Pelodiscus sinensis: one gene and its partners. The protein of the gene in region 3 interacts with the protein of the main gene of each other region in a biochemical or structural test. Links are inferred from orthologs where the notes say so. Each region holds a gene or a part of one and is shown on either strand. Other genes may lie near its edges.

Region 1 (7,350 bases), on a different chromosome or scaffold from region 3:
ACTGCCCTTTTTTCGAAAAAACTTAACCTGCGTCCACACTGCAATCGCGTCCTTTCAAAATTAAATCGAAAGAATGCAGGGGGTTTTTCAACATTGGTAAACCTGAAATTACAAGGAAGAACACCTTTTTTGAAAGAGCTCTTTCAAAAAAAGGCATGTGTGAAGGCAGAACAGGGACATTTTTCGAAAGAAGAGGCAAGTGAAAAAAAGCACAGGTGCCCCAAGAGAGCGTCCATGCAGTTTGGATGCCCTCTTCCGGCTTTGAGGTGTGGATGCTCTCTTTCGAAAGAAGCTTGCAATCTAGACATACCCTAGGTTTTGAATTGATTAACTCAAAGGTGACAACAAATACTGGGACAGAAACTTGTATTATTCAGACATCTGTAACTAATACCTCTAAACAAGTGCTAAATCAAAGCTGTTCAGAAGGATGAGTTTTAAGATCTGATGCTTCAAACCATCTCAACCTGAAATAAATTCAATATATCATATTATTGATGGTTTATGGAATTTATTTCTAGTCCTTGTGACTCAAAGTTCTGGACCCTAAAATACAGGTAAAATGTATGATACCTGAATTGATAGAAAAGCTGTACAACTACCAACACTTCAACACACTCTCAATACATAAACAGGGATTTGATATTCAACTCAAAAGATTCCTCTTCTCTCTCACACATGCAGTTGAAAGGCACATTCAACCTGAAATCATCAGATGGGAAAAATAATACAGGTTGAACCTCTCTAGACGAGCACTCCTGGGACTTAACCACTGCCGAACTATGGGAGGTCAATATTGCCTAACAGCATTACCAACACTTCCACTGCTTACTGGAAGACATTTAGGAGTAAATTGGAGCTGAACAATAGCACAGAACATTGAGAGCCAGGATTAGCGGCTGTAAACAAACTTTATTGGACCATGGAAAACTTAGCCACACCCATGATCAGTGGACATCCAGCTAACTAAAATCATGCCTGACCACAGCTGTTGCTGGACCACTGAGTGCCCGAGTAGAGAGGTTCAACCTGTAGTTTTAGGAACTGCATGTACCCGAAGCCTGTAAGTTTTTGTCTTGTGACATTGGCAGGGACTTCATTTTTTTCAATTCTTCTCTCCCATTTGAGACATCCAAATAGGGGAACTCTGTGAAAAGCTTTAAATTTTTCATTTTGTCAAGAATTCTTTCCTCCTCCTTTCTGATGAAAATATCAGGAAGGATCCATTTCTTTGTGTCCAAGTTTTTCTGGGGAAGAATGAACTATTGGAACTAAATGGATGCAATCCATGGACACTCGGCTTTCCTTACATTTCTTGTCTTCTGTTTCCAAATAATCAGTACTCACAAGAGATACTGTAGGTACTTTGTATTGTAAACTACCACCAGGGTGGGATTAAGAAAAGGGCTGCAGCTCCTAACACCCCATGTTCCTGGCCAGCCCTTCCTGGCAGGCTGGGAGGAGGTGGATTGGCATGCTGCCTCTCCCCCACACCTCCAGAAGCTCTATCTCATGCTGCCCATTGGCCAGGGATTGCAGTCAACCAGAGCTGCAGGAGGCAGTACCTTCAGGCTAGCCATCTGTCCCAACCACCCCAAACTAGAAATGTTAAAAAAAATTAGTTAAAAATGTAACTGTTAAAAATCCTAGCGGTTACATGTGCTGCAGACTGCAATAAAATGGGGCCACTAGCTTGGAGTAGGTGAACGTCAGGAACCCGTTTATAAGCAGGGTGATAGCCTGCTCCCTGGGTGTGGGGCTGGTAGCAAGTACACACTGGGAGCTGATTTGTTGCAGGCTCTAGTCTGAGTACAACTTTATACTGCAGAGCCTGCAGCGAGGGGTGACTGCTGGCTCCTGGGGAAGCCAGTGTATAACCATAACAGAAACAGATAAGCTGATGCTTATGGATACACCTTGTACATCCATACCCCAAACAGGAGCTGCCAAAGGTAAGTGCCCCCACTCTCCTATCCCCTGCCCCAGGCCTGAGCCCTCTTTCACACTCTAATTCCCAAACAGGCTCTGCAACCCAACCCAGACCTGAGCCTGCTCCAGCACTCTATCCCTCACCCAGTCCCCTGCAACCTCCTGTCCTGAGCCTGTTCCCCCACTCCAAACTCCTAGGCCCCAGCCTGAGGCCCTGCCCCCTAAATACCTCATCCCCAGTCTCACCTCAGAACCTACATACTTTCTTGGAGCCCTTGACCCCTCTGGCTCTCAACCTACAACCCCCTCCCATAAATCTGAACCCCTCATTTTTAGGCCCCACTCTGGACCCAAAAAGCAAAAATCTAATAGCCCTGCCCAAAGATTTAATCCAGCCCTGGCCACCACAAGACACTCCTGAGGACTGGAAAGTCTTATCACTTGGGCTTCCTGAGGCTGGCCTGGTTTGGGGGGGGGGAGGGGGGCAAGTAAAGTTCCAGCAGCAGGTGGTGGTTTGAAGGCATTTTAGCATGTGATCTATGGCGGATGCCCCTCGCTGCGAGTTACTTTCCGAAGTCGCTCTGAAGTAGCACCGCGGGCAGATGAGGAACAGGGGCAACTGCTGCAGCTACGCGGGTCATTCCACCGCCGGGTTCAGGCCCTGAACTGAGCGCCCCGAGCCTGGCGCTGCCTCCTCTGCTCGGGGCCGCACGCCGGGCTACGAAGCGCCCGATACTAGCTACCGCCGGAGGCGCGGACACAGCCAGGGCCGCGCCCCGCCCCACCGACACAGCGCCGCACCCCGCCCCAGGCACGCGGCGCGGACTCACCTCTCCAGCCACTCGCGCAGGAAGTGCAGCTCCTCGCTGTGCAGCACGCCCGGGTTCTGCTTGCAGAGCTTGACGAAGGCCCGCAGCTCGCTCACCTTGCGCGGATCCATGGCCGGCCGCGCCGCAACTTCCCAGCCCTCGCCCCCGAGTCCCGCGCCGCGCGCAGCTCCGCCTCCGCGCTCCCGCCCCCTGCCGACGCTGCGCTACTCCGCGCGCAAGGCCTGGCCGGGGCCTCCCGGCTCCGCCTCCAGGGTCCGCAACCCCTCGGCCCCGCCACTGCGCGGCTACCGGAACCTTCTAGAAGGGGATGCGTGACTGTCCGTTACGCGCCCCCCCCGCCCTCCGTTACGTCATCACTCGCGTCCTTTAGTCACTCCAGCCCCTGCTTGGCTGTGGCCGGGCAGTGTTCGGCTGAGGCGCCTCCCTTTGCAGAGCTGCGGCGATTGGCGCGGACAGCTAAGGCTGGGAGCACGCGGGGCAAGAGGCACTTGCGGATGACGTAGTTAGTCAGGGCCGTCTGCTCGGAAGGCCCCCGCAATGTGCGAGCGGGGGCGGGGAGTCTGCAGGTGGCTGGCAGCGCGGCCGCGGATGGCAGCTGCAGGGGCGCGGGGGATGCGGGGCGCTGGTTTCCCTAAGGACCACGGCACCCGGCAGTAGCGTGGTGTCTGCGCGGGGCGCAGCCATGCCAGGGCTCCCAGCTCAGAGGCTTATCCCGGCTGCGAAGGGCTTGTGCATCATTTCAGGTCAGAGACTTCAGTTCCTGTTAATGGCAAACCTCTCCCGGGGGCCTGGCCCGCTCTGCGGCGCGGTGACCCCCTCCTCGATATAGGGCCTGTGTCTTTCTGCAGCCGCCACCTCTTTGTCTCCATGCGTGCAAGGGCCCAGCGAGTGTTTGGCACCTCCTCTGCTTCTTTCATCATCCAGTTTAACTCCTTTGATTGTCACGAAAAGTGTAAAATAGACCCTTGTGGGGGAATCTAGCTGCAATTTACCTGTAAGGTTTTTGAGGCAGTGATCCTGTGTATTTGTGATGTTATGTAGAAAGAATTATCGGGAGGTGTACTGACACACATGTTCAAGATGCCATTAATGCTCGTGTTAATTCCCTTTTTTGACACGTGAGTCAAATATTTGCTTTTTATCTTTATTGATACATTTGATGTTACAAAGAATACATGGACAGCGCTTCTGCTTTCGAAGCTGAAAATTCCAAGGTTTGTAAAGCTAGGGTGTGCTCTGCAATGCAAAACAAAGTATTCCATGAATGCTTTTTAGAAATGTTTTATTGCTCATTTTAAAAGGTTAAAATCAATGTCAGTATTTAGAAATCCCACTCTGCAGTTTTTTTTAATAATTATACTGAAATTGTAGGCCTCAATCCTGTAAGACCTCTTTGAAGGATCAGGGCCTTATACAGCACATGCATAAAAGGTGTTAAAACACTAAACAAGCAAGCAATAAAAGGCTGCTGGCAGGGCAAAGAACCTTAAATTAATAAAACTAAAAGATTTTAAAAGTCAATTTTTGTGTCCACCCTTTATACTTTATGTACATTTAGGTCCAGATTCTCAGAAGTGTTTAGGAGCTGAACTCCCATAGATACCTTTGAGGATCTGGACAATTGTAATTAGCTTGGAGAATGAAAAGAGACAAGCTTTGCTTCCTGGTTCTCACACTTTCACTATGAAGCTGTATTTGTAATAGATATGTAGCCGTATTAGTCTGGTCTAGCTGAAACAAAAAACAGGACTATGCAGCACTTTAAAGACTAACAACATGATTTATTAGGTGATGAGCTTTCGTGGGCCAGACTCACTTCCTCAGATCAAATTGTGGAAGAAAATTGGCACGACCATATATACCAAAGGATACAACCAAAAAAAAAATGAACACATATGAAAAGGACAAATCAAATTTCAGAACAGAAGGGAGATGGGGGAGGGGGGGAAATGTCTGAGCTAATGATATTAGAGGTGATAATTGGGGAAGCTATCTTTGTAATGGAAGCTATCTTTGTAAGCTGTATTTGGTTTGCAAAGAATGAAGAAATAAGATCAATTAAGAAATCAAAAGCTTTTCTGTTAATTAACATGCACACGTTCTTTCTATGAATTTTATGCCCTCTAAAGTTATTGTACTAAACCTAGATTCTTGGGCCAAAATTAATCCGATGGTATATTTTAATTTAAGTCCCACAAGTCTCCATGAGATGTATAATAGCGACATTAAAATTTGTATAATTCGATAACCATGTAACTGCTGACAATTTCAGTGATTACACAGTTACACCTAGAGCAGGAGCCGATTTGCATGAGGAGCCAGATTTTAAGCCTGCTCCCCACACATATCGGCTCCTACCTGTTGTCCTGTGCTGCTGCCTCTATATTGTAAGCAGCAGCGTGGGATGGCAGGCAGCTTCCTGGGAGCCAGACGGTGAGCCATGTGTAGCTGTTTGGGTAACCGATAAGCATACTTTCTGGTTACTCATTGAAATGGCTACACTCTTACATCCCTAATGTATGCGTTATATTTGTTTTCCATGTGGATGGTGAGACAAGGAGATCAAACTACTTGTCATTGCTTACACAGTGAATCCAAGACATAGCTGTGAATATCACTCAGAAGCTTGGACTCCCAGATCTTAGCTCAAACTACTGAACAAAATCCTTCTAATTTAAAAACATAGCACTTGTGTTACTTTTATCCTACTGTCATTACTGATGACACTGAACCTTTAAAATGAGTGACCACTAGTAAAGGCTCCCTTTTAGCTCACTTGATAGATCTATTTCTCATGCATCCTACTGTGTGGTTCTATCTGAGGCTCAAGCCTGGTCTATACTTGAAAAATTAAGTCTGAAAAGTTATTGCAGTCAGACCTAACCCCAGGTGTAGACAGGGATAAGTTGATGAAAGAAAGATCTATGCTGAGGCTTGATCTAAACTGTATTGGCATTGCCATGTCAATCATAAGTATGAATAAACAACAAATTACGAAAAAGGGATTTTTGAAAATAAAACCCTTGTTCAAAAGATATTGTACTCCTCAAAAAATGAGGTTTACAGGATCTTTCGAAAAAGGGTTTATTTTCAAAAGATCCCCATCTAAACTGACAGGGTGTGTGTAGTTCCCCCCCCCCCCCCAAAAAAAGCCCCATTTCGAAAAAAGCGGCGGCCGCCATTATGCAAATGAAGCATGGGAAATTCAAATTCTGGCTTCATTTGCAATATCAACATGCCTAATTTACATCCCTTTATCGAAATAGGGATGTAGTCTAGAGCAGTGGTCTCCATCCTTTTTACACCTGAGATTGCTTTTTAAGTCTCAGAACATGCGAAGATCTACTGCCCTGCCCCTTCTTTGAAGCCGCGCCTACATTACATGAGGAAATCTAATGTAAATGTACTGCGCAGGTGCGCAGTTCAGAGAGGGCTCAAGAGCTACTCTTGGAGCCCCTGAGATCTACCAGTAGATCGCGATCTACTGGTTGGTGACCACGGGTCCAGAGCCACCCTTAGTCTGTAATGTAGACATAGACCAGGTCTATGTTATGAGGAGTATGGTAGACAATCTACAGTGAGAGAAGGGGTTAATCCATTGCTTTATGGACACACACACACACTCTTCCCAGAAGTGGTAGTTAGGTTGATGGAAGCATTCTTCAGCTACATCTACAGACTCAATTAGGTAAACTCAGATGCAATTAGGTGAACATAGGTATGGTGCTGGATGTGGATTTTTCAGGCCCTGAGTGCTGTAGTTTTGTGAACTTATATTTTAAGCATGGACTAGGCCATATTCTAAGGTTCATTTATAATGCTCTGAACAACATAAAAGGACCTTGTAATGGTGCACTGCTTGAGGGCAAGTCTACACTAGAAACTTACATCCACCTGTGTGATGTCAACTAACAACCACCAGTCATTACTGCAATGGATCGTGTCCACACTACCCTTCTCCTGTCAGTGGTGTGTATCCCCATGAGAAATGCTTCCTTTACGGCAGAGGGGCATCTGCTCTCCACATCCCCTCAGGTGCTCGGCTCACCACTTCCAGGATTTTGACTGCAACCGGAGTCCAGATGGCACTCAGGCTCTCTGCAGGAAGTCTCTGAGTAGGAGCCAGGAAGGGAGTTGGAAGCGGGGTGGGTGCAACCTGTCTGGGAGTGGAGTGTCTGGAGATAGCGGGTCTCTAACAGGGTGACAGCACAGCTTTCTTGTCAATTTGACTGCTCCATGGAGTCATACAATTGACCAGAATGACAGCCCACAGTCAGTGTAAGTAATCTGCAGTAGGGTTGTCAAAGTGTAGGCAGCTACGCGACACGGGGGTGGGGACAGATGGGAGCCGGTACACGCAGGGAGCTGGCTTTCAAGCTGGCTGTTGCATGTATCAGCTCCTGTGGAACTGACTGCCCCCCCACCCCCATATATTGCTGCCTCTCTATTATAGGCGGCAGCATGGGGGGGGAGGGGTGGCTTTTAAGCTGGCTCTCCATGCATGCCAGCTCTGTGGAGCTACCTGCCTCCCCCCTTGCTGCCTTCCATAGAGGCAGTGGAGGAGGAGGGAGAGGCAGAAGCCAGTTTTCAG
Region 2 (7,971 bases), on a different chromosome or scaffold from region 3:
TGTTTGTTCAATGGCTATGCTAATTAGCGAGGCTCCAGGGACAATAGATCTCTAAATGCCAAAGACACACCTGGGGAATGAATCTGGATGCCTGCTGACAGCCAGAATAATGATTGCTAGCTTAAGACACAAGGATCGGTCAATGGACCATGTGACCTGCAGTGACCTGTTCTGGCCAGGAAGATGCCAGGAGAGGTATATAAGTTCCATGTGGCACCCTCCATCTTGTCTTGAGTTCAGCTCCTGATCCCAGATGCAGCCTTGCAGGGAACAACGAGCCAGGAAGAACCGTGGACTCATGTACACCAGAGACTTTTAAGATAGCAGTTTATAACATCTCTGCTAAGAGCCTGTATTGAGAACTGGGTGATTTGATGCATGTAACGTATTCTCCTTTAACAACCGTACTCTCATGCTTTTCTTTCTTTTAGTAATAAACATTTAAATTTTAGATTCTAAAGGATTGGCTCAGCGTGATCTTGTGGGTAAGATCCAGAGTGTAAATTAACTGGCATCTGTGGCTGGTTTCTTGGGACCGGAGGAACCCATTTGGGGAAGGTGAGATTGGGTTCTATAACCCCTCACCTGTGTGCTAAGCCCGGGGCTGATTGGGGCACAGGGAGCGCTGGAGTGTCAGAGGGGTTTTGCTCATGAGGCTTCTGGCTGGCCAGATTGGAAGCTGAAGCACTGTGTGACTGGTTTGTGGCCTATTTGGGAAGGTCTCCAGTCTGGGGCTGTGAGGAGCCCCGAGTGTGAGCAATTCACCCTGAGTGGACACCATCAGCTGTGCCCAGACCCGGCCTGGTACATCACATCTTGAGTCCCTACCCCCAGCCAGAGTGAGAAATACAGCAACAATGTGCACTTTCCCCTGGCTCCCTGACATAAGGAAACAGCCAACAATGTTCCTGGACAAATCCGGGGTAGGAGAGAGCTTCAGCCATCACCCCTCACCATGTGTAAAGGGCACCCAAGGAGTGGAAGTCTTGGGGACGGAACAGTCCTGGACGGGGGTGCCCCTAGCTAACCCCTTTCACCTGCTTGGTGAGTCTGTTTCTTTTCTGTATGGTTTTATAAGAGGAAATCCCATTCTAGCCACATCCCGTTTTCCTGGCACAACCATATACTTACCTTGCTTTAGGTTATGATAAGAGGAAGCTGTATACCAAAACTTGGTGGTCCTAGCGCTTAGCGTTTAGAAAGAGTCCTTGAAAACACAAACTCCCTCAAATATATAGTAGATAATAATGTTATAATATAGTACTGATCACATGCAAACTACACCCACTTCATCTCCCAGATAGTGAAACTAAGGGGTTGCCTCAATGGTCTCCAGGAAGACTGTTAATGATTCTTCCAGAGGAAAAGGTGTCAGCAGCTCGGAGGAAAACTTTAGCCAGACCACGGTTGAAAATACCTGTTCTGCACAGAAGCATCCTGGCCAACTACTGGCCAAATGACATAACTTCTGGGAAAGATAAATGATAAGGACTTAGCATCCTCACATAGGTTCAGCTTCACCCACCTGGACACCTACTGTAAGGTTTCAGGCCATGTCATGACACAGAAACAATGTTAATTGTAGTGGTCAGAGATCTCCTTAGGCCAATGAACAGATACCAGATATCTGATTACTCAAAATTTTGGTGACCTTTGACATTGCTGCACATGTGAAATTACTAACATAACTGCATGATTTGGTTTAGAGATAGATGGAATTGTCTTAGAACCACTCACTCCTTTCTGATTATTCCCAGATAGTGGTGGATGATTTTTTGTCTCCCAGCTGTAAAATCCTTGCCAGCCTCAATACTAATAAACTTTTTCAATAAAAGATACTAAAAAAAAATCATGACCCAGTGACAGACAGCTTTACTTTGTTTTGTCTTTTGATTGTGGAACCTTCCCTACACTAGGTCAGTAACTAGCACATATTAGGAGATGAGATCTGCTTGATGCACCTCAAACCAGACAACACATAGACAGGTGAAACTAATTAGTAGGGAAAATGCTCTCTGGACATTTGAAATCTGTATAGCCATCTGTCCAACCATTAACACTTTAAGGGATTTCACTAGAACAGGTATGTCTAATGGTTCCCAACTTTTTCCAGATGGGGACTCATTTTGACAATTCAGGAAGACTTGGTGACCCAAGGAAATTCAAAAACGGGGAGGAGAGGAGGCAGAGCCTCCTGAGGAGACACTTGGTGACCCTTTTGAAATGTAATGGAAGCCCATATTTGGGTCCCAACCCATAGGTTGGGAAACCCTGCTGGAAGAGAATTAAGAAGAAATTTGCACAACAGGTTGTCAGCCGACGGTCAGGGCAGTGAGTCCCTCATGACCGGCTGAAGTTCTTTTAAATTGTGCTTGGTTCTGTTACAGCAACTGAAGGAGTCAGGTTAAAGCTTAAACAGTTACTATTTTATTGTTACAGGGTAAACTTAGCTGTTAAATGCTACTACTGTGTTACAGATAACACAGACACTACAAAGGACAGGACAGAAATTACACTAATAAGTCACTTACAGGTACCATGAAACCCTTTGGTTCTCTGAGCTCTTATTAAATGCATGCAAAATAGACATATAGCAGGTATATATTCTTACCCCTGAGTTCCAGACTTGGCGTGGCCAGCGTCTTTCTCTCAATCCCTCGGGAAGAAGTAGGGCGAGGTTGGGCGTCCCACAGACCTCGGGAGACAATCAATACCTGCCAGCAGGTATAGATGATTGGAGCTCAAATGGGGTGGGCGGCTGAACCTCTTTTTATACCCCTTGGGTCATGTAGGCTTCTTCCTGGTTTCAAGTGGCCAATTAGGAAAAATGGCTTTGAATGCCAAGTTTCCCACGAAGGGTGCAAAGCATAATTTACACCTGGGAAAATGCAGACAATGGGCACCTCTGGTATGTGATGGGCGAAGATTCCTCTCCTGGGACAGTGCAGACGTGTCAATTACTGGTACTAGCCATCAGGGCGACGGGAGGCCCCGGGTCGTCAGCTGGCCCATTTACTGTCTGGTTTCTGTTTATGGTAGAGTCAGGGACAGGCAGCAAACCTGTGTTCCCAGGGCATCAAAGGCTGACTGCCTTTCTCTTGCTCTCTGGGGGGAGGAGGGGGGAAACAAGATGGGGCTCGTGGAAAAACAAGATGGGGTTTTTGTGTCTGGCTACACAGGTCCTCAAAATTATTTCCCAATCAATCAGTATCACTACCATCTTGTTTTATAATGAAAAGATGTTCCCTGAGCCCTGATCCATGATTTTAAAACTGGTGATTCATAACATAGCAAAAATGATTTTTCCCTTGAGCATTTTGATGTTGGGCTTGGGTTTTGTTTTGTTTTAGAGCTCAAAATATTGCCATTGTGTAGATTTCCAAAGAAAGTGTTAAATGGTGCAGCACAAAACAATATTTTATCCTGTTGATTTTAATTTGGAAACAGTAAAAAAAAAAGTTAAGTACTTCAGAATACAATCACCCAGATTCCTGTATATTGCTTACTAGAAATGTGCAGTGTAAAAATTTAAGTCAACCAACATTGCCCAAAGCAGGAGACAGGATCAAAAGAACTTTCACACTTCTTCAGATGTTGTGCCCATGAAAACTCATTATACCATCTACGTTTTTTGTTAGTCTTTAAGGTACTGCAAGACTATTCATTGTTTTTTTATTTTTTTTTATATTACAAACTAACAGGGCTGCCCCTCTGAAACTTTCAAAAAGGGCTAACAAGTTGTCTCCAACTCCAGTGCCACTTCCAGGAGAGGAGCAATATAGCCATGAATTGCTAATGTACCCCAACCACTTTTTGTCCTGTTAATGTGGATACTTACATTTGGTTTTTTTTATAAGCCTCCCATCCCCCGCCTTTTAGGCATGACACAATTGCAGCAGCATGTTTCCATTAATGATATTAATATTCAGAGGGGTAGCTAAGTTAGTCTGCAACAGGAAAAACTTAAAAAACAACAAATAGACTAGTAGCATCTTAAAGACTAACAAAACATGTACAGCCTCCCCCCCCCCCCGAGTTACAAACGAGTTACAGACCAAACACTTGGCCGTAACTCAGTTTGTTCATAACTTGGACCCCATTAAGTTACATAGCAACCGCGCTGTTCATAAGCACGGGTCTCGTTCGTAACTCAGGGACCGCCTTTACAACCGCTCCATGGGAGTTTTGCTCATAAATGCGAACAGTCGTAACTCGACCGTTCACAACTCAGGGACCGGCTGTAGATACCATCTACATGTTTTGTTAGTCTTTAAGGTGATATTAATATTTGTTAGGGGAACAATGTTTTCTTTACATTTGATTACTTTGTGACCTGGGGGCCCCAAGATGCAAAGCTCCAGACTAGCAGAGAATCCCAAGGACTGGCGGTCTCCTCAGACAAGCACAAAGGCCCAGATCCTCAAAGCCTAAATAGCTTTGAGAATGTGGGTGGGGGCAATGAGGAAATCTCAAACAGCGATTCTGTGAGCCAATCCACAAAATACAAATTCTTCTATCAGCAGAGGAAATGAAGCACATTTACATGGGATGGGGTTCCCACATCTCCCAAGTCAGAGGTCAGAAACCATGGGCATAGCACACCTTAGTTCAGGGCAGTACACTATTTGGTGTCCCATCGTGCGTAAGTGCTGGAATTAGGGATGCAGGGGTTGCTGCAGCCTGCAAGCACCCCCTGGCTTGAAGTGGTTTTTCTTATATATGCAAATTTAGAGTTGGGTTTAGTGGCTCTCAAGCACCCTCACTATACAAGTTGCTCCAGTCCTTTCCTCCCCCTCCCCACTATACCCCTAACCTAGGGGACTAAAAGCAGCCGCTTCTATTGGGTGTCCGTGGAGAGCCGCAATGGGAAGGCCCGGGTGCAGTTGCACGTGCATGCTCGCCCGGTTCCCCACGCTAGCTAGCGCCTAGGCAGCGGCAGTGGGAGGGCCACAACGCTTAGTGCTGCCCCGGAGGCAGCGGGCGGAGCTCTTCTCCGACCCGGCGGAACGTAAGTGAAGGCAGCGCGCGTGGCCGGGGGAGGAGCCGCAGCATGGCGCACCCGGCCTCGGCCGCCAGCCCCCGGGTCTTCTTCGATGTGGACATCGGGGGCGAACGAGGTGGGTGCGGGCGCGAGAGCCCGCGGAAGGAACGTTGGCCCCGGGCAGGGTAGCGGGGAGGGGCCCGCGGCTCGTGCTTGCGGGGCCCGGGCACCCCGGCTGCGCTGCGTTTGCAGCCTCTTGCGGCCGCGCCTTGGGCCAGGCGGCTGCTTCTCGGAGCCTGGCGGCGGCTCCGGCGCAACAAAGGGGATTTGTGGCGGTCAGGGGGCAGCCTGCCCCGCCCCGTGCGGGCCATGAGCGCTGCTCGCCCATCCCTCTGCCAGGGCCTGCGCGCGCTGCCCAGGGGCTGCTCCCGGGACAGCCGTGAGGCCTCAACACCTTCAGCTGCTGGTGGCTCCCTCCCTGGCGCCTGCCTGCACTGCAGTGCTGAGTAGCCAACCTAGGGTGATTTACAGCCACTGCAGCAATCACGGTGGCGGCTGGTGGCTTATATCAGCTTCCTCCTGGCCTTCTGTTGCGCACCCTCACCGGAGCGCTCCCATTCCCTGAAAAGCGGAGGGGCTGGTGTTCTCAGCTGCCCCTCGGAGCTTCTCACCTACCTAGGAGTGGAAGGGCCCGGTGCCAGATTTCTTGTCAGTTTCAGGTTTCCCAGAGACCGCTACTATAAGGAATACAGCGTCTCTACACACTTTGCTGTGTCTACACTGCAAGAAGGGGCGGTGTAGACAGCTCTGATTCTAGTGCAAGAGCCACTTCTGCAAAAATGGCGGCTCATTAGGTATGCAAATGAGGCTCCACGATATTCCACGCTTAGGCTCATTTGCATATCTCTGGCGCATCAACCCGCCAGTGTAGACACAGCCAAATTTGTGTGTTACTCTAACAGCAGGGACATAAGCCCTATGTCTCCTGTGAGGGAGGAGTTACTAGTCAGTGGAGTAGGGCACTTTAATTGGTGGGAGCAAGCCTGTAGTTATGTCCGCCTAACTCTAGTATAGATGGAGCCTGGGCAATGCAGGCGGCCAGCTGGCACTTAGGTTGTGTACATCTCTGTGTCAGCCACATCTAATCCAGCAGCTCACCAGCCATGATCACAGACTACTTTTTCTTTACTGTGCTTGGCTGATGTGATACTTCATGCAGCTAGTCCTAAACTTTCCCAAACCCATGCGTGCTGCAGCATTGAGAGGAATACAGTGATCTTTTTACAAGAGATGTCAACATGTAGATGACTAGACAATTGACCGATATGCCTGGGCTTATTGGTTAATCCTGTTGACAATATGCACCCTCCCCCCTGCAAGGTGGAAGGCAGGAGCCGGTGCCTGTGAGCCAGCTCCCCATAAGCACTGGATCCCATAGAGCCACCTTCACCTCCACTCCGTACTGCCAACTCTGATAGAGAGTCAGCAGTGTGGAGGGTGAGAGGAAGCAGGCGAGAGCTGGTACATGTAGGGAACACACACTTTGACTCCCATGGAGCCGTCTGCCCTCTCCATTCCTCTCCATGCTGCTACCCTTCTATCAGAGGCAGCAGTGCAGGGGGACGAAGGGTTGTGCAGGCAGGAGCCAATATGCAAGGGGAGATGGCTTTTAAGCCAGTTCTCTGTGTGTGCTGGCTCTGCGGAACCTCGGTGGATAGAGGCTGCTTTGTGGGATGCTCGGGCCCCTGCGGACAGCGGCAGCAGGTGAGAGCCGATCTGCACAGGGAACCGTTTTTTTTTAAACTAGTTCCTCTTGCAAACTGGCTCCCACCTGCCACTCAGTTTCAGGGAGCTCCCTAGGAGTGGGGCCGGGAGCATATTGGCTGCTGCTGTCTCTGGTACTATCGAATAGTCGTGTAACCATTAAAATTTGATGAGGTTACACGACTGTTCAGTTGCATGCTGTCTGTCTAAGATCCATGCTGTTTACTCTTTTCAAGTGGCAAAACCTACCAGCTTGCCATATTCACTGGTGTTAACATTCACTTACCTGCAAACACTGTACCATTCATTTAGGTCAGGCTCTGGGGTCAGGCCAAAAATGAGGGGTTCAATATTAGGGATGCAGTATCCTGTTTAATCAGTTAACCAGGCTGGAGCCATTGTAGGGGGCTGCTCTGTCCAGGCATGCTGGGCCTGCTGTGGGCAGGGGCTACTGCTGCGGGGCATGAATGCACTCCAGTCCTGGTGGGGGAGCATCCCCTCACCCATGGCAGGTGAGGGGCTGCCTCAGATCCTGCTGGATACCCATAACCAGTAAACATCACCCTATTCACATTCCTATCTGGTATGTGGGACATGGGCTGCCAGGGAGCAAGGTGGGGTTGTGGAGTCTGAGCAGGAGTCAGGGTCTGAGTTATGGTTCAGGAGTGGACTAGGGATGTAAAAGTAGTTGAATAGTCGAGTTGAACATTCACATTCTCCCCCACCCTCCTTTGCTGCTTCTATATCAGAGGCAGTAAGTTGGGGGGGAAGCAGGAGCTGTTGCTAGGGGGAGCTGGCTTAAAATCCAGTTTCCCTCTATCACCATCTTTGCATTGCGGGAGGCAGAGACGTGCCAGGTTCTTACTAATTTAAAAGGAAGAGCTGCAGCAGTTGGGAGGTTCTTCCTACATTTAAAAGGCAGAGACACAGCAGGGTCAGTTCCTGGGACAGTTCCGGTTTGCGCCCGCTCTGGGATGCTGCAGCTCTGCCTTTTAAACATAGTAAGAGCTGCAGCTGGGGTAGCGAATGCCCCCCTCCCCCAACTATTTGAGTGGTTGATGGAAATTCCAATGATTACTTGATTAGCTGATTGATCACAATTTAACATCCCTAGAGTTGACTGGGAGTGCAGGGTCTGGGTGGGAGTTAGGGTGCAGAAGGTAGGCTGCAGGAAGGGACAGGGGACTGGGTTGTAGAAGGGGGCAGGACATTGGGTGCTTATCTGC
Region 3 (7,330 bases):
GCACTTTACAGTTAAACTACTATCAAAGCATAAACCTTTGCTCAGTCATGCAGTGGTGAAAGTAAATTAAAAATCTTCCCAGGACAGGAGCCGCATGGAGCTTTGGGAGAAGGGCAGGACTCCGGACCAGCATCTGCCAGCCTCCCCTTTAGCACTGCACAGTGCGTATCACTTGGGGCTTTGGCAGTAATTTAAAGGGCCCAGGATAGGGTCCGGCAGTACTGCCATGACAGCACTTTATTGTCAACGATGTATGGGCAAGTACTGGCAGCCACTTCTTACCGGTATGCTATATCAGCCTGTACTGGGTACCGGCCCATTTTCGTCTCTGCAAACCGGTATCCTTAACAGGGTCTGCACTTCTTTAGGCCACCACTAGGTTTTATATCCATAGCAGAAGGTGCTAAAAAATCCAGCTTCACATTTCAACTCTTCCTCATTATGTCAGCTCTCTGGGATCTATTTTTGTGAACAATTTCAGATGCTAAAATTCTATTTCCCTTCCGTACCTCACACCTGAAACACTCAAATAACATTATGATGGCCATGATACAAGAATGCAAATAGATTTACATTCCTAAAAAATTCTGTAAAAGAACAGGAAGGATACAAAGTCAATTACTCAGAAGTTAGAAAATGCTATAATTAAATTTCCATGCAGTCTTAGTTTTACCTCCTTGTGTTTATGTATTATGAAAGTCTTGCTCAGGAATGCACAGAAATCCTGTGGCAGAGATAGGAATAGAAACCCATTCACTGAATTTTAATCAAGTGTCTTGAATACAAGACATTAATCTTTCTTTTCCTGCAATCTTCTGTTCTACCATCCTCCTAATGGATTGACTGAGGCATGGAGTCTTTCAGCCCAAGTAGTATGTGAACATGTAATTAAAGACTGTATCACAGCAGACAACTATGAGTCTCAAAAAATAAAGCTCCATCTGTGCAGATGCAATTACAGCATCAGGATCTATACCATCAAATTCAATGCACATTTGACCTACTACTGTATGGTGTCTTATGAGGTGGCTTCTGATTAGAGGTGGGCAGAAGCCAAGAACAAAGGAATGACCATTCTGTGTCAGACAAATGGTTCATCTAGCCTAGTATACTGTCTTCTGATAGAGGCCAATGCCAGAAGCTTCAGAGAGAATGAATAAAACAGGGTAATTATCACGATTCTCCAGTCCCAGCATCTGGTAGTCAGAGGCATACCTATAGCATGGTATGTCATAGTCAGAGCATGACGTCCATAACATTTGGATTAGAGTTGAATTTTCAAAAAGCTGAGGTTGTTCGTGTCTACAGGTATGGACTATTATAAGAGCAAGATAAAAGGTTGATGTTCCTCAGGTTAAGGACTGTGCTTTTTTGGCACTTCTCCTTCCAACAATGAAAAATCACCAAATCAGCAACAAGTCTGACATTAGACCTGTTGTTTTATTTGTTCTCCAATGATAGGTAATTAGTCCAATGTAATAATATCAGTTTCCTTAACTCATGTTTGGAACTACAGTGATAACAAATAAACATTTAAAAATTGCATATTGTTATAATAGGAAAAGTACATTTTCAGTCTTTTTGTTTTCAAACACACCTGACTATTTTTGCTCAATTGTCTTTCCACCTCTCACCCCCCACTTGCAAATATCAGATTTTGAAACAAATAAAGCTTCTGACATTTCAGCACTGGAAAATAATGAAAAAGAGATTTATATGTAGCTTAACCACTATAGTTGTTACTATAGTCACATAATACAACAAAAAGAGTACAGCATCTAAGCATGATTCATAAATAAAATATTAGCTTTACACTTGCACAGGCTGGCATGTGGATAGGACTTAAGCAGAGAGGGAGATGCTGAATTGAGCAGTTTAAGTTTGGTATGTGAACACTTTCCTCCAAGTGGATTTTTCTAAGAATTCTGAAAAAAATCCATCTAAGATGGATTTTATATTGCCTGCCATTTTGAAAGCTAGAAATAAATGTAGCCATTAAATATAGGCAAAATGCTAGTGACTATGATCTTTGAAAAATGCTGAACATAAATCAAGATTTCTTAAAAAAAAATCCTGGAAAATATGGTTTTTAAAATAGAAAATAATATGGTTTTTAAAATAGAAAACTAAGAAAATAATATGGCTATTGGCATAGACCAGTGGTGCGCAACCCGTGGGTCGTGACCCCCAAAGAGGTCACAGATATCTTTCCGGGGGGGGGGGTCACAGTGTTTAGATCCGTTGGCAGCCACACGGTGTGGTGCTTAGTTCCAGCTGGCTGGGCGCAGCGCGGCACTTAGATCCAGCCAGCCGGTGGCTGGGCCCAGCAGTTAGTAGCCCCCATGGTGCAGTGCCTAGATCTGGCTGGCCGGGGGCTGGACCCAGCAGTTGGTAGCCCCCGCAGCTTGGGGATTGCAGATCAAAAAAGGCTGCACATCACTGACATGCACACTACAAACTAAGGCCCTGATCTTGCAAAGACAAAAGCACTCTCCTCCTTATAACTGCCAATTTGCGTAAAAATTAAGTGTATACATAAATCTTTGCAGGATCAGGGCCCAGGGTAGATCTGGGTACAGAAACCCCAGTAGTGGATACGTAATCTGGGGGAGATGAGCCAGGGAAGTGCAACTTCTGCAGCCCTACTCGCTGTACTATTTTCTGTCTGTTTCTTTGGGCTCAATTCTGAAAGGTTCTGAAAGCCCACAATCATCACTGAGATCAAGGGATCACACAAAAACTCAGGCCTTTAGGTCTAATACTCCAGTCATTTCTGCGTATGTGGATCATACTGCAAAATCAGGATATTAAGACTTGGAGATAGAGCAGCTGGCAAATTTGTTTAAATATTTTTTCTAATAAAAAATCTGCTTTTTTCAAAAGTGACAAAAGGTATCCATTTTAAGTGAAATTTCATTTTGGAAAAAATATCAGAATGAAGGGGCTATAATATGTTCACATGAAATTCACTGATTTATATCTAAAACATTTTGAAAGGTCAAAATAAGAGCTAAATGTTTTAATTCTAAGTGGAACATTTTGGTCATCTCAAAATGTTTTCTTTTGGGGAGGATTTCAATTTTTAAAAATTTCAGTTTCTGATTTTGTTTCGTTTGGGCTCAAAATTTGCTGAACTAGACTATTAAACCCTTTACTTTAAATGCAAGGTCTGTTCTCTCTGCATGGCAGTCAAGTCCTAAATTTAGTGAAGGAAGCGCAACAAGAGGGGGGGGGAGGTAGCAGCTAGGCAGAGAAGCACCAGTGAAGCCCAATGCAGTAGACAGGCAAGAGCTAGTATGTGGTGAGATTAGGGAGTGCCCCCCACATCTTTCAGTACAAAGTGACATGTGAGGGGGCTGCCCCAGGAACTTTCAGTGCAGCATGGCATGTTGTGGGTGACCCAAAGCCACCCAGTCGTGTATGCGGATCACCTCAGGGCTGCAGTGACGAACCCAGGCCGCAGTACCATGCAGTATAGTGTGGGGAGGCACCCTAGAGTCACGCAAGAGCCTGAGGGGATGTCTCAGGCTAATGCACTGAGGCGTGGCATGGGGAAGATGCGCCCCAGATCTGTACACTGCAGCGGGGCACGATGGCGCCCCAAGGCCGTGCATGTAAGGTGGCATGGGGGGAGAGGCACCCCGGACCACGCATGAAACGCGGAACGGGGGGAGAGGCGCCCTAGAGCCATGCAGCATGATAGGAAGGGGGGGGGGGGGGGTCGCGCAGTGAAGCATGGAAGGGAGCACGCGACGGGGCTCCCCGGGGCCACGCACCGAAACGCAGAGACCCTGAAGGGAAACGCAGCTGGAGGCGGGGTAGCGCCCCCCAGCTCTCACACGAGGTGCGGGAGGCAGAGAGAAGCGCGTCGCTTCTGGCTGCTTCTAGGACCTTCTGCGGGAAGCAGGGTGAGGGCGGGAGGCAGAGCCCGAGAGGCGGGACTTACAGAGGCTGATGGATTCCGCCTCCTTCTAGGATGTTCGGAGGGGAGGAGATCGGCTCCGGCTTGCAATGAATGAAGTCACCTTGCAGCGTGCGCACTAGCTCTCCCCGCCCTTTCCGAAGCCAACCGGTGACAGTTGACCTCGCGCAAGCGCATTTCCCATCCCCGTCTTCAGAGGCGACAATTGGAAATGGAGCGCGCGTGCGAGCCGGGCTCCGCATGACGCATGCGCAGTCGCCTCAGCGAGGCGCCAGACGAAAAACGCATGCGCAATCCGAGAACGGTTCGCCCAGCGCACGCGCATTTTGATCGCAGCAACCGCCCCCCTCCGTCAGCCCCTCCCCCAGTGATGAAGGTTGGAGTTACCCACCCCCGTGCCTGTCAGTGAAGGTTCCCGATGGTTCTGGAAGGAGGCGGCGCCGGGAGTATATAAGCCGGGCGGGGGGCGGCGAGCCGCCAGTTCCGTTACTGCGGAAAGAGGAGGACGCTTAACTTAGAGGAGCAGGAGCCCCAAGAACACTCACCGCCAAGGTGAGGCGCGAGGAGCGGTGGCTGGAAGATCGACCCCAGGATGGTTTTTTCCTCAACGGGCTCGTTCTCTAGCTGAGCCTGGAACCGTGGCTTAGATTGATGGCGGAGCCTTTCCGCGCCGTGTGGTGGAGCAGGCTGCCCTGCTTGCGGGGGTGGGCAGTGCGGGGGGGCGATGTGAGGGGCGCAGCCCACAGTGCCTGGCGCACAGCGGTGCTGGGCGTTAAGGGGCGTTCGTGGCCCTTAGGTGGCTGCTGAGGAGGAAGAGTAGGTGGGAGCGGGGAGACGCAGTATGTAGGGGGCCCGCCCCCTTGGGTACCCGCCTGGCTCACATGCAGGGGGGGGATGATGGAGACCGGCAGCAGGAGGAGGGGTCTATTGGGAAGAGGGCTTGTCGCGCGGCACGGGGGGGGCACCGGCTTGGGGAGGGGAGGGTCCGCTGGGCGCGGGACTTGCGCTTGCGGCTGGGGGGGGAGGTGGAGGTGGAACGAGGGGGAGGAGAGGAAGGCTCTCGCAGTTTCTAGAATCTGTTCCAGGTCTGGATCTGTAGGGGGCGCTGTGCTCCCATGTTTGTCAGTGCCCACTCTCCCATGCCTGTGGTGTCTAGCCTGCCTGAACTGCTGTAGAAAGTACCCTTGGGGATCTGGACTGACCCAATTCTCGGTGGCTATCTGTAGTGCAGTGCATTTTACTAGTTACTGCAATGGAAAAGTAGCTAGTGAGGTCTCCCTTCAGTTGGATTTGATTTAAATGCTGCAGTGCAAGTTTAAACAGTCATGGCACTGGGCTCCCCTGACTGGCAAAACCAGTTTTTCCTGCATGACCAATAGATTGTTACCTCTGATGTATAGATACCTAGCAAGAGATGGCACTCTTCTCTGTTAAAAGAACCTGTGTTGTTACAAGCTGAAAGTGTATGAGCTATAATGTTCTGTGGTCTTTAGGAGAAAGCTCCCAGTAGGACTGAGTATTCAGCCAAAACAAAAAAATTGACTATTTGACACTAACCAGATTATCCAGGTATGTCTTGCAAGTCACATTCTAGATCCAAATGTTGTATAAAGTGAAACTTAATTTTTGAAAGTTAGATTCTGTAATGTTAACTTACTGTATTCAGCACTTAGTATTGTTCTTGCAATTCTGTATGCTCTGAGTTTTAAAGATGCATGGTAGGCAATTGGACAAATTACTGCCACATTAAACCTTCGTCCTCTTGAGGAGCTGAGACTTGTACTTATCTGTCACTGACAGGCCTTCCTAGACAAGGGTTATAAATGAGCTGGACTGCCCTTTGCTGCCAGCAGGAAGAGCATACCAGTTAGGTTTGTCTTTCTTAGTTGAATATTTAAAATGCTATATGCTGTCCACGACCCTTTCCCAAAGTGGTGGTGCTTGTTAACAGCAGTTTAGGTGGTTGAACATAAAACGGAGCAAACATTAGTATTCTTCACCTAAGAGCCATTCTTAAGAGCTTAAAGTTATAACTTCATTTTAATTCTACAGATGCCAGAAGCTGTGCAGACTCAAGACCAGCCAATGGAGGAGGAGGTGGAGACCTTTGCCTTCCAGGCTGAAATAGCTCAGTTGATGTCTCTGATCATCAACACTTTCTATTCCAACAAGGAGATTTTCCTGAGGGAGCTGATTTCTAATTCATCAGATGTAAGTAAGAAAAATGTCACATGCAATCAGTGACATTATTACCTTTAAATACAGGTAGTGTGGTGAGGGGTCTGATAGTTGTATTCTTGTTTTGTAGGCTCTGGACAAAATCAGATATGAGAGTTTAACTGATCCAAGCAAACTAGATTCGGGAAAAGATCTGAAAATTAACCTTCTTCCCAACAAGCATGATCGCACCCTGACCATTGTGGATACTGGCATAGGGATGACCAAAGCAGACTTGGTTAACAACCTGGGTACTATTGCCAAATCTGGCACCAAAGCTTTCATGGAAGCATTGCAAGCAGGTGCAGATATTTCTATGATTGGTCAGTTTGGTGTTGGCTTCTACTCTGCCTACCTGGTTGCTGAAAAAGTAACAGTGATCACCAAGCACAATGATGATGAGCAGTATGCTTGGGAATCTTCTGCTGGAGGATCATTTACTGTCAGACTTGATAATGGTAAGTGCTAACTTGGTGTTGTAGAGGTAGTTCTAAAGTAGTCCTTTATAGTATAAGGAAATCCATGAATAGAAGGCTCTTCAAGGTGCTACAGCTGTAGCATATAGTATCTTGTAATACTAGAATGACAGTTAAAATAACTGCTTCTCAAGGGTGATATATCTTAATCTGCAGCAAAATTAATTAAGCTGTAAGCCAGTTACAATAGTACCATAGCAGTAGTCTTCTGTTTGTCTTAAACATCTTTCCAAACATTTACTGGTGCTTACTGTAAAACTCAAACCTTATTCTAGGGGAACCTCTTGGCCGTGGTACGAAAGTTATTCTGCATCTTAAGGAGGACCAGACTGAGTACCTGGAAGAAAGACGAATCAAGGAAATTGTGAAGAAGCATTCTCAGTTTATTGGCTATCCAATTACACTCTTTGTAAGTGTTCAGCTTGGAAAGCTAACACAATTTTAACTGGTGGTAAAGAATGTTAAGTGAGTACAAGGTTTAGCCATAATAACTTACAAAAATGATTCTGGAGTCAGATGGACCAGATATAAGTATATTAATGACTCTTAATGTGTAGTATAGACATTTGTCTACAAATCCTAAATAAGAATCTTCTCTCCCCTGTCCCTCCACCACACGCACTTGCTGTTGGACTCCTGCCAAACAGCAGTGCTTTCAGACCTGATTCTCTTGACAGCCACAGAATAGGGTGTAAAATGTGTAACCTAAACATGG
Region 4 (7,630 bases), on a different chromosome or scaffold from region 3:
GCTGCAGGGCCTGGGGGGGGACCACAGGAAAGGGGAGCTCTCGGTGCCTACGGGTGGAGGGCTGGATTGGCGCTCTTACAAAATCAGCCGGGGGCGAACTGGCACCTGGAAGTGGCTCGTTTCTCTGGGCACATCTACGCAGCAGGGCTAAAGTCGGAATAAGCTGCGCAACTTTGGCTGTGTTGATTGCGTAGCTGAAGTCGAAAGAGCTTCACTTGGCTTTTGGTGCTGCCTGCACAGCAGGAAGTGGAAGAGGGAAACCACTCTTCCTCCCCCTCCCCTTGCCCCTCGTGAAATGAGAGTGACAGGAGTCGGGGTAAGAAATCCTCCCGTTTGACGGTACGGTGAAATAAAGGCTTGTAGTGTAGATGCGCATTTTGTTATTCCAAAATAATGCTGCTGTGTAGACGTACCCTCTGGCTCTAACCACTAGACCCCAGAGCCAGGGATCGGACCCAGGAGTCCTGGCTCCCTGCCCCTCTGTGTTCTAACTCACGCATGTTCTGACCGAAGGCCCAGTCTGGACGAAGAACCCCTCAGAAGTGGGGGTAAGAGGAGTGTGGATGCCAGGTGTTTATTCCCAACCAGGCTGGAAGGGGAGGGAGTGAGGTGAGGGACCAGAACTGAGGCTCTAGGAGCTCTGCCACGGCCGTGCTCTATGACCTGCAGCTCACCCCCTTTTCTGTGCCTCAGTTTCCCTCAACACCTGCTAAATGCCTTGTGTGCATCTTGCCTGCCTCTTGTAAGGAGGGTGGGAGGCTGCATTGCCAGCATGTGGAGAAAGGGGTGAGGTTGTTGGGTGAACCCCCCCCATCGCCCGCTCCGATAATCACAGCTGCCGGCTGAGCGTATGCACCCCCGGGCACGGCAGGCAGCGGCAAAACCCTGCTTCTCCTAAGGGGGCAGGGGCCCCTTAAGACAGAGCCGCCAGGCTTGTCATGGGCTCTCGGGCCACTTCCAGGCCAGCCCCAGGCCCTGCTGCTGCCGTGCACGGCCCAGCTGGCTGGAGCTACCCAGGCAGTTGGATCCAGGGGTGAGGGAGGTGGTGCCCATAGGGGGCACTGAGGGGAGGCGCAGTAAAGGGCCGGCCAAGCTCACCCCTCCGGCCAGGGCAGACTCCAGCATCCTTTGGAGCCAGGCCTGGTGAGGAACGGGGCACTGCCTGCTCCCTCCTTAGCCTGGCTGGGGTTTTATCCCTGCTTGCTGGAGTACAAGCCATGGGTGATGCAAGGTGCTTGGAATCAGCCCTTCTGGGACCCAGAAAATCACTGGGCTTGAACCTGCCACTCCCCAGGTGCTGGGCTAGCTCACCTACCTCTCGACCAGTAGGGGGCATCAGAGCACTTCACGAGGGGGGTACAGTCCCCGCATCTGTTCATCCTGTACCTAGAGGTACATCTGCATCTGCGGGGACCAGCAAAGTCTGGCTACTAAACAGAGTGAAGGGCGCCCCCTGCTGCATCACCCATGGCACAACCTCCCCCCCCCCCACAGCAGTGGGAGAGTGAGAGAAGAGTGCCCCCTGCTGGGTCCTAGCTGGCTTCCTGCAGCACCTAGACTTCCATCTATACTCAAGTGATGCAGTGACCCAGCTGTACCAGGAGCAGCAGATGCTTCCTAAAAGAGCCACGGCCCCTCCTCCTGAGGCCCCACCTCCTCTCGTTGGGCAGGGCCCCAGCCTTGCACCATTCTTGGAGGGTCCTGTCCTCATGCCACCCCTTCTCCAGGGTCCTGGCCTCGCATTGCCCAAGGCCCTGCCTCCAACCTGCTTCTTCCCTGACATTTCCCCCACCACACACGCTCCTCTCCCCCTCCTCGCTCCCCCTCGTGGCTCTCACAGGCAGCCACGGCACTTTTACAAGTGAGGGGCCCTGGCTGGAGCACCAGATACAGCAGAACTCGCGCTCCCTCCTGCTCCCTGGCTGGAACGCAGGGTGGGGAGAGCTGTGGAGGGTTGCGGGGGGTGGGCCTGGGTGCAAAGTGCGTGGGCCACAGCCCACTCAGGCCCACCCGTGGCTACGCTCCTGCCATTTGGGCACTGACTGTGCAGCCCCCGTCTCTCTCTCCCAGCATAAATCTGGCCATTTACCAGCTCTGGGATCTCAATTCCCTGGGCCGGGGGGCTCAAACTTCATTGTACCATGATCCCCAACCATGAAAATTACGACAGGATCCCCGGAGGTGGGACTGAAGGCTGAGTCTGCCTGCCTGTGCAGGGTGGCCAAAGTCGAAGCCACGGGAGGAGCAGTCAAAGTCCAAGAGCGTCAGCCCTGGTGGGAGGCCTCTAAGCTGAGCCCCACCACCCAGAGCTAACGGCCTGGAGCTCTGGCCCTGGGCAGGGGGCTTTGGACTTCAGCTTTGGCCGAGGGCTGTGGGGCTCGGGCCAGGCCTCGTGACCCCATTGATATGGGGTCATGACCCACTTTGTGGTCCCGACCCACAGTTGGGAATCGCTGCCCTAGACGAATGACCCAAGCTGTGGCCCTTTCCTGGAGAGATGGGTCAAGATGCAGGTTTGACCCAGGGAGCGATTGCAGGCTGCCCTTGTAGAGGGTCTAGATCAGAGGTGTCCAAACTTTTTTCAAAGAGGGCCAGATTTGATGAAGTGAACATGCGTGAGGGCCGACCATTTTGCCTGACATTCTTTGAACCATTAAAATTAAATGCAAATTAACTATTTTATGCAAAGTTTATTGCAAACGGCATACTTTTCATTTCGTCACATGGATGACAAATCTAAACAGGTGTTAAATCACTCTGCCTTTCATATCTGAAGGCCAGATGAAAAAAAAAAATCCAGGAAGCTGAAAGATATGTCAGGAACATTGTAAAGTACATGACATATTATTGGTAATAAAGGTTGTCTGTCAACTTTTAAGTTCAAAAAATATGAACAGGAACATAACACCAAGTATACATGTTGTGTCCAAATGTATTTATAACTGATTTAGACCAACTGACATTAACTGAGATTTTACAATGTATTCATCTCAATACATATGGATTCATTGGGGGCCATAAAAGATAGATATTGCCAAATTACCTGGGGGGCCGTATTAAACCGGAACACGGGCCGCAATTGGCCCGCAGGCCGGACTTTGGACATGCCTCGTCTAGATGATCACATGCTGGAAAAAGCCAACCGTCTGCAGTCAGATGGCCTCCTCCTGCCATGGGGACAGCTCCAGCAAAATCTAGCACCGTGGCCTAGTATGTACAGCACTGGACTGAGACCACTCAGGGCGCCTGGGTTCTGTTCCTGACTCCAAGGTGACCCAGGGCGAGTCACTTCCTCACTCTGAGCCTCAGTTTCCCCATCGGTAAAATAAGGATATTTGATCTCTGCAAAGTGCTTTAAGCTGTACCTGTGACAAGCACTAGATAAGAGGCAGGGATGATATTCTTCTTCCAGATTAGATGCTGTGGGGGAGCCATCCCATGCCTCAGAGCGGGGCTTGCAGTGCTCAGCTAAACCACATGTTCTCCCCAAAGCTGGGGGTCTGATGTGGGGAATGACAACCACATCCCCCGTCCTGCCTCAGTTCAGAGCCCACGGCACTCCTCAAAGCCAGGAGCTTTGGGATGGGGCCGTACCTCTCTGCCCCTGCTGAGGTCCTGTGACCCCACGGCCACGCACCCCAGGATGGGACTCTGGAAGACTGGGCCCCCCATGTTGGCTCAGGGATAGTCTCTTGCTGCTGCCCAATCATAACCAACCTGCCACAGGTTCTGATCTAGTCCCCTAGTGCTACCCAATCACCACCCCCCAGCTTGATACTGTCCAATCGTGCCCCCACCCAGGTGCCACCCAATCACACCTCCTCCCTGGGGTGCCTCCCAATCACACCTCCTCCCCCTGGTGCCACCCAATCACACCTCCTCCCTGGGGTGCCAACCCAATCACACCTCCTCCCCCTGGTGCCACCCAATCACACCTCCCTGCGGTGCCACCCAATCACACCTCCTCCCCCTGGTGCCACCCAATCACACCTCCTCCCTGCGGTGCCACCCAATCACACCTCCTCCTCCAGGTGCCACCCAATCACACCTCCTCCCTGCGGTGCCACCCAATCACACCTCCTCCCCCTGGTGCCACCCAATCACACCTCCTCCCTGGGGTGCCACTCAATCACACCTCCTCTCCCAGGTGCCACCCAATCACACCTCCTCCCTGGGGTGCCACCCAATCACACCTCCTCCCCCAGGTGCCACCCAATCACACCTCCTCCCTGGGGTGCCACCCAATCACACCTCCTCCCCCTGGTGCCACCCAATCACACCTCCTCCCCCAGGTGCCACCCAATCACACCTCCTCCCCCTGGTGCCACCCAATCACATCTCCCTGGGGTGCCACCCAATCATGCCCCACCCTGCTGTCGTCCAATCACGCGCCTCCCTTTGCCACTACCCAGTCATGCCCCGCCCCCCAGCCCAAGGGACAGCTAATCGCCTCCAACGTGGCACCGCCCAATGGAGCCGGGGGGGGGCATGGCCACTCTAGCCTCCCTTCCCGGGACTCTATGGTGCAGAGTCGCGCTTCCCAGCCTCTCTATGGCTGGGCCCCGGGCCCCGCCTCCTCCTCAGTGCGCGCGCGCGCGGGGGAGCGTTTGCGACCTTCCCCGCGAGCCCCTCCCCTCCCCCTTGGCGTTTGCGGCAGCGCTCGGCGCCGGGGCGGTTGGGCGCGCGCGGTTGCTAGGGTCGCTTTACGGCCCGGCGATGGCGGAGGGAGAGCGGGCGGAGCAGAGCGGAGGCCCCGGGCGGACCCCCCGGGAGGGGGAGGCAGGGGCGCCGGAGCGGGCGGAGACCCTCAAGTGCCAGGCCAACGAGTACTTCAAAGGTAGCGGGGGGCTGCCACATAGGGAGCCATGGGCGGGAAGCGGTGGGGGGAGGGGCTGCCAGATAGGGAGCTATGGGGGGGAGGGGCTGCCACATAGGGAGCCATGGGCGGGAAGCGGTGGGGGGAGGGGCTGCCAGATAGGGAGCCATGGGGGGGAGGGGCTGCCACATAGGAGCCATGGGCGGGAAGCGGTGGGGGGAGGGGCTGCCACATGGGGAGTTGTGGGGGGAGGGGCTGCCACATGGGGAGCCATTGGAGGGGGGAGTCAGGGAAGGGACCCCTAGATGGAGACCCAGAGACTATGTGGCAGGGATGACTGGGCGAGGATCCTGCCAGCTGGGAAGGGCTACCAGAGAATGAACCCTGTGGGGGCAAGCAGAGAAGATGGTAGGTAGTCAGAGGCAGCCTGGCCTAGTGGTTAGAACAGTGTGTGCTCTAGTCATGGGGTCCAAGGCCAGAAGGGACCCCTGGGAACAAGTATCCTGACCCCGCGTATTGCACAGGACAGGGAACCACCCCCAAATAATTCCTAGGGCAGATCTCTTTGAAACCCATCCCATCTTGATTTAAACCTGGGGGGTTGATTGTAGGGTGTAGTCATTAGAGCTGGGGACTGACGCCTGGTTTTTGTTCCTGGCTGTGCCACTGGCCTGTGGGGTGACCATAGACAGGAAATTTTCCTGCTCTGTGCCCCAGTTTCCCTATCTGTAAAATGGGGTTAATGATATTGACCTGCCTAGTACAGTGTTCTGAGAGCTCCTGATGAAAAGCACTAGCGAAGAGCTCAAGATTTTCATCCTCGCTATTGATTGTTGCGCTCAGGACAGAGGCCTCATGCAAGCAGTGGAGACTTGGCCCCTTTGGAACTCCGTTTGCGAGGGAAGTGGGGCAACAGGAAGGGCATTATGGCTTAAGAGCAAATGCTTTCCCCTTCTGTTGCTCTTTATTCAGGATATCCAAGTCGTTTGCAGATTTGTTAATTAGCTGCTACATCGCCCTAGGGTGAGGGAAGTGACTTATTCAGGGTCACCTAGGCAGTCTGTAGCAAAGTAGAGAGTAGAACCCAGGAGTTCCAGTGCCAAGTTCTCTCTTGTAATCACGGAGGCCTGCTCTGCACTTGAACGTTTTACTGTTACCATTATTGTGACTCAGGAAGTGATTTTTTTTTTTTGTAAATGGGGTTGTGCTGCTCTAACAGTGCTGGTACATTTGAAGTGATTCAGTTTTGATAATACTCATCATTGGGCTAGTAAATCAGAATAAAGGGGCCAAGCTAGGAAAGGGCCTCAGGATGTGTGGGTGTGGAGGGGGGATGGAGGAACAAGGTCAGCATAGTGAGCTGTTGATGGGTTAGTGTTAGAGGAGATGTTGGTCTGTCAGAGGGATTGGTTTTCTACACAGGGCGCTATTCTGGAATAGCTGTATAGTGGAATCAGTTTAAAACAAAACCAAAACCAGTGCAAACCTCATGCATGAACTCTTATTTCCATTCAAGCCAGGGTCATTTCAGCTGTTCTTAGATTGGTTACGAATCAGATTAAATTAACCAGAAGCAAGGCCCTCTTAGGTCAAGTGTCCACACAGCAGTGTGCATGGGTTTAACTACATTGGTGTAACTTTAACCAATGCAACATTTTTGTCTAGACAGATCCTTATTCCAGATTAAAATCATTCACACATTGTTATTCTGGATTCGCTGTTCTGTTTTAAATCCACATCCTCCCTTATTCTGAAGTTCTTGTGGAGATAAGTGCTTATTCTGAAAAGAGAGTGCCTTTTTCCAGAGCAGTTTGATCCCTTTTGGAACGGGCTTAGGCCAAGCCGCAGCAAGGCCCTCTTGTTCTAGGAATAGTGGGCGCACCTATGGAGTTATTCCTGGATGGCTGCTCTGCTTTAAATTTACACCCTACCTAATTCTAAAGTAACTTTCATGTGGAAACAAGTCCTGAGGTGAGGGATGTACTGTCTGATGCAACAGAGGACATATTCCCGCAGGGCTGGATAATAGCGAATGAGATGAAATAAATCAGTGGAGCAAGCTACTGGCAGGAGAAGGAAGGCCTTGCGGATGCGTGTTGCAAATAGGGTACTGGTTCCCATAGGCTCTGAAGGCTTTGGGAGTGGCCTGGCCTCTCCTGGGAGGGATGTGCAGACAAGTGATTTCTCTAGCGACTGTCTGTGCCCTGCCCTCCGGGAGTTGCCTTAAGAGACACCTGCTGTACGGTACAGTCCAAAAGCCGACATGGCCTTCTTGGAAGCGGCCCTGTGTGTGAGCTCTTTAAGGCCTCTTGTCCTTAGGCCTGAGTGTCTTGTGTCCATGGGAGTTTCTGGTAAAAAGATCCCATCTTGAGAGCCCAACTTTGAAAGCTTTCCAGCAGGAGAGAGCCTCCTTTCTTCCTTGCTCTTTGTCAGTCATTTCTTTTCACTTTAACCCTTCACTCTGCAGGCAGCCCATCTTGGAAAGCCTGGAAGCCAGGGCCCAACCCTCAGGCACCGCTTTTACCTTTAGATATAATCCCACTGAAGCAGGAGGGAGGATTGTGAAGAAATCTGCACTTCCTGTCCTGGAATGTACATAAAACTTGGCATCGCCACCCGCTAGGGGAACCAGGACATACCAGACTGAGTCGGACCCAGTGGGAGATAGTTCCGGCTTCCCATCTCTCCACAGTGGTCAGCGCTGGTAATGTGAAAGTGTTCCAGGTGCACAGTTAACTGATGAGCCTGTGCTCTTTGGTTAACATGCACAGTTACACCCAGCTCCCCCACCTCCCTGCGCTGCTGCCTCTGAAT

Evidence for each region.
Region 1: the proteins of HSP90AA1 (region 3) and ST13 form a complex in vitro, tested with the Homo sapiens proteins (2 studies listed by BioGRID). The link is inferred for Pelodiscus sinensis from reciprocal best matches to the Homo sapiens genes HSP90AA1 and ST13.
Region 2: the proteins of HSP90AA1 (region 3) and PPID form a complex in vitro, tested with the Homo sapiens proteins (2 studies listed by BioGRID). The link is inferred for Pelodiscus sinensis from reciprocal best matches to the Homo sapiens genes HSP90AA1 and PPID.
Region 4: the proteins of HSP90AA1 (region 3) and PPP5C form a complex in vitro, tested with the Homo sapiens proteins (4 studies listed by BioGRID, with this or other methods). The link is inferred for Pelodiscus sinensis from reciprocal best matches to the Homo sapiens genes HSP90AA1 and PPP5C.

What each region holds. Positions count from the first base shown.
Region 1 is NC_134711.1:89,685,963-89,693,312, reverse strand, and holds the start of ST13 (hsc70-interacting protein), read right to left. Parts: upstream 3,015-7,350; 5' UTR 2,870-3,014; coding exon 2,760-2,869; intron 1-2,759. Other genes in the region: XPNPEP3 (xaa-Pro aminopeptidase 3), read left to right, coding at 3,442-3,502. UniProt on the Homo sapiens protein: One HIP oligomer binds the ATPase domains of at least two HSC70 molecules dependent on activation of the HSC70 ATPase by HSP40. Stabilizes the ADP state of HSC70 that has a high affinity for substrate protein.
Region 2 is NC_134715.1:59,628,806-59,636,776, reverse strand, and holds the start of PPID (peptidyl-prolyl cis-trans isomerase D), read left to right. Parts: upstream 1-4,956; 5' UTR 4,957-5,050; coding exon 5,051-5,117; intron 5,118-7,971. UniProt on the Homo sapiens protein: PPIase that catalyzes the cis-trans isomerization of proline imidic peptide bonds in oligopeptides and may therefore assist protein folding. Proposed to act as a co-chaperone in HSP90 complexes such as in unligated steroid receptors heterocomplexes.
Region 3 is NC_134714.1:22,309,902-22,317,231, forward strand, and holds the start of HSP90AA1 (heat shock protein HSP 90-alpha), read left to right. Parts: upstream 1-4,314; 5' UTR 4,315-4,474; intron 4,475-5,974; coding exon 5,975-6,133; intron 6,134-6,230; coding exon 6,231-6,597; intron 6,598-6,890; coding exon 6,891-7,024; intron 7,025-7,330. UniProt on the Homo sapiens protein: Molecular chaperone that promotes the maturation, structural maintenance and proper regulation of specific target proteins involved for instance in cell cycle control and signal transduction.
Region 4 is NW_027465849.1:6,189,875-6,197,504, reverse strand, and holds the start of PPP5C (serine/threonine-protein phosphatase 5), read left to right. Parts: upstream 1-4,614; 5' UTR 4,615-4,716; coding exon 4,717-4,837; intron 4,838-7,630. UniProt on the Homo sapiens protein: Serine/threonine-protein phosphatase that dephosphorylates a myriad of proteins involved in different signaling pathways including the kinases CSNK1E, ASK1/MAP3K5, PRKDC and RAF1, the nuclear receptors NR3C1, PPARG, ESR1 and ESR2, SMAD proteins and TAU/MAPT.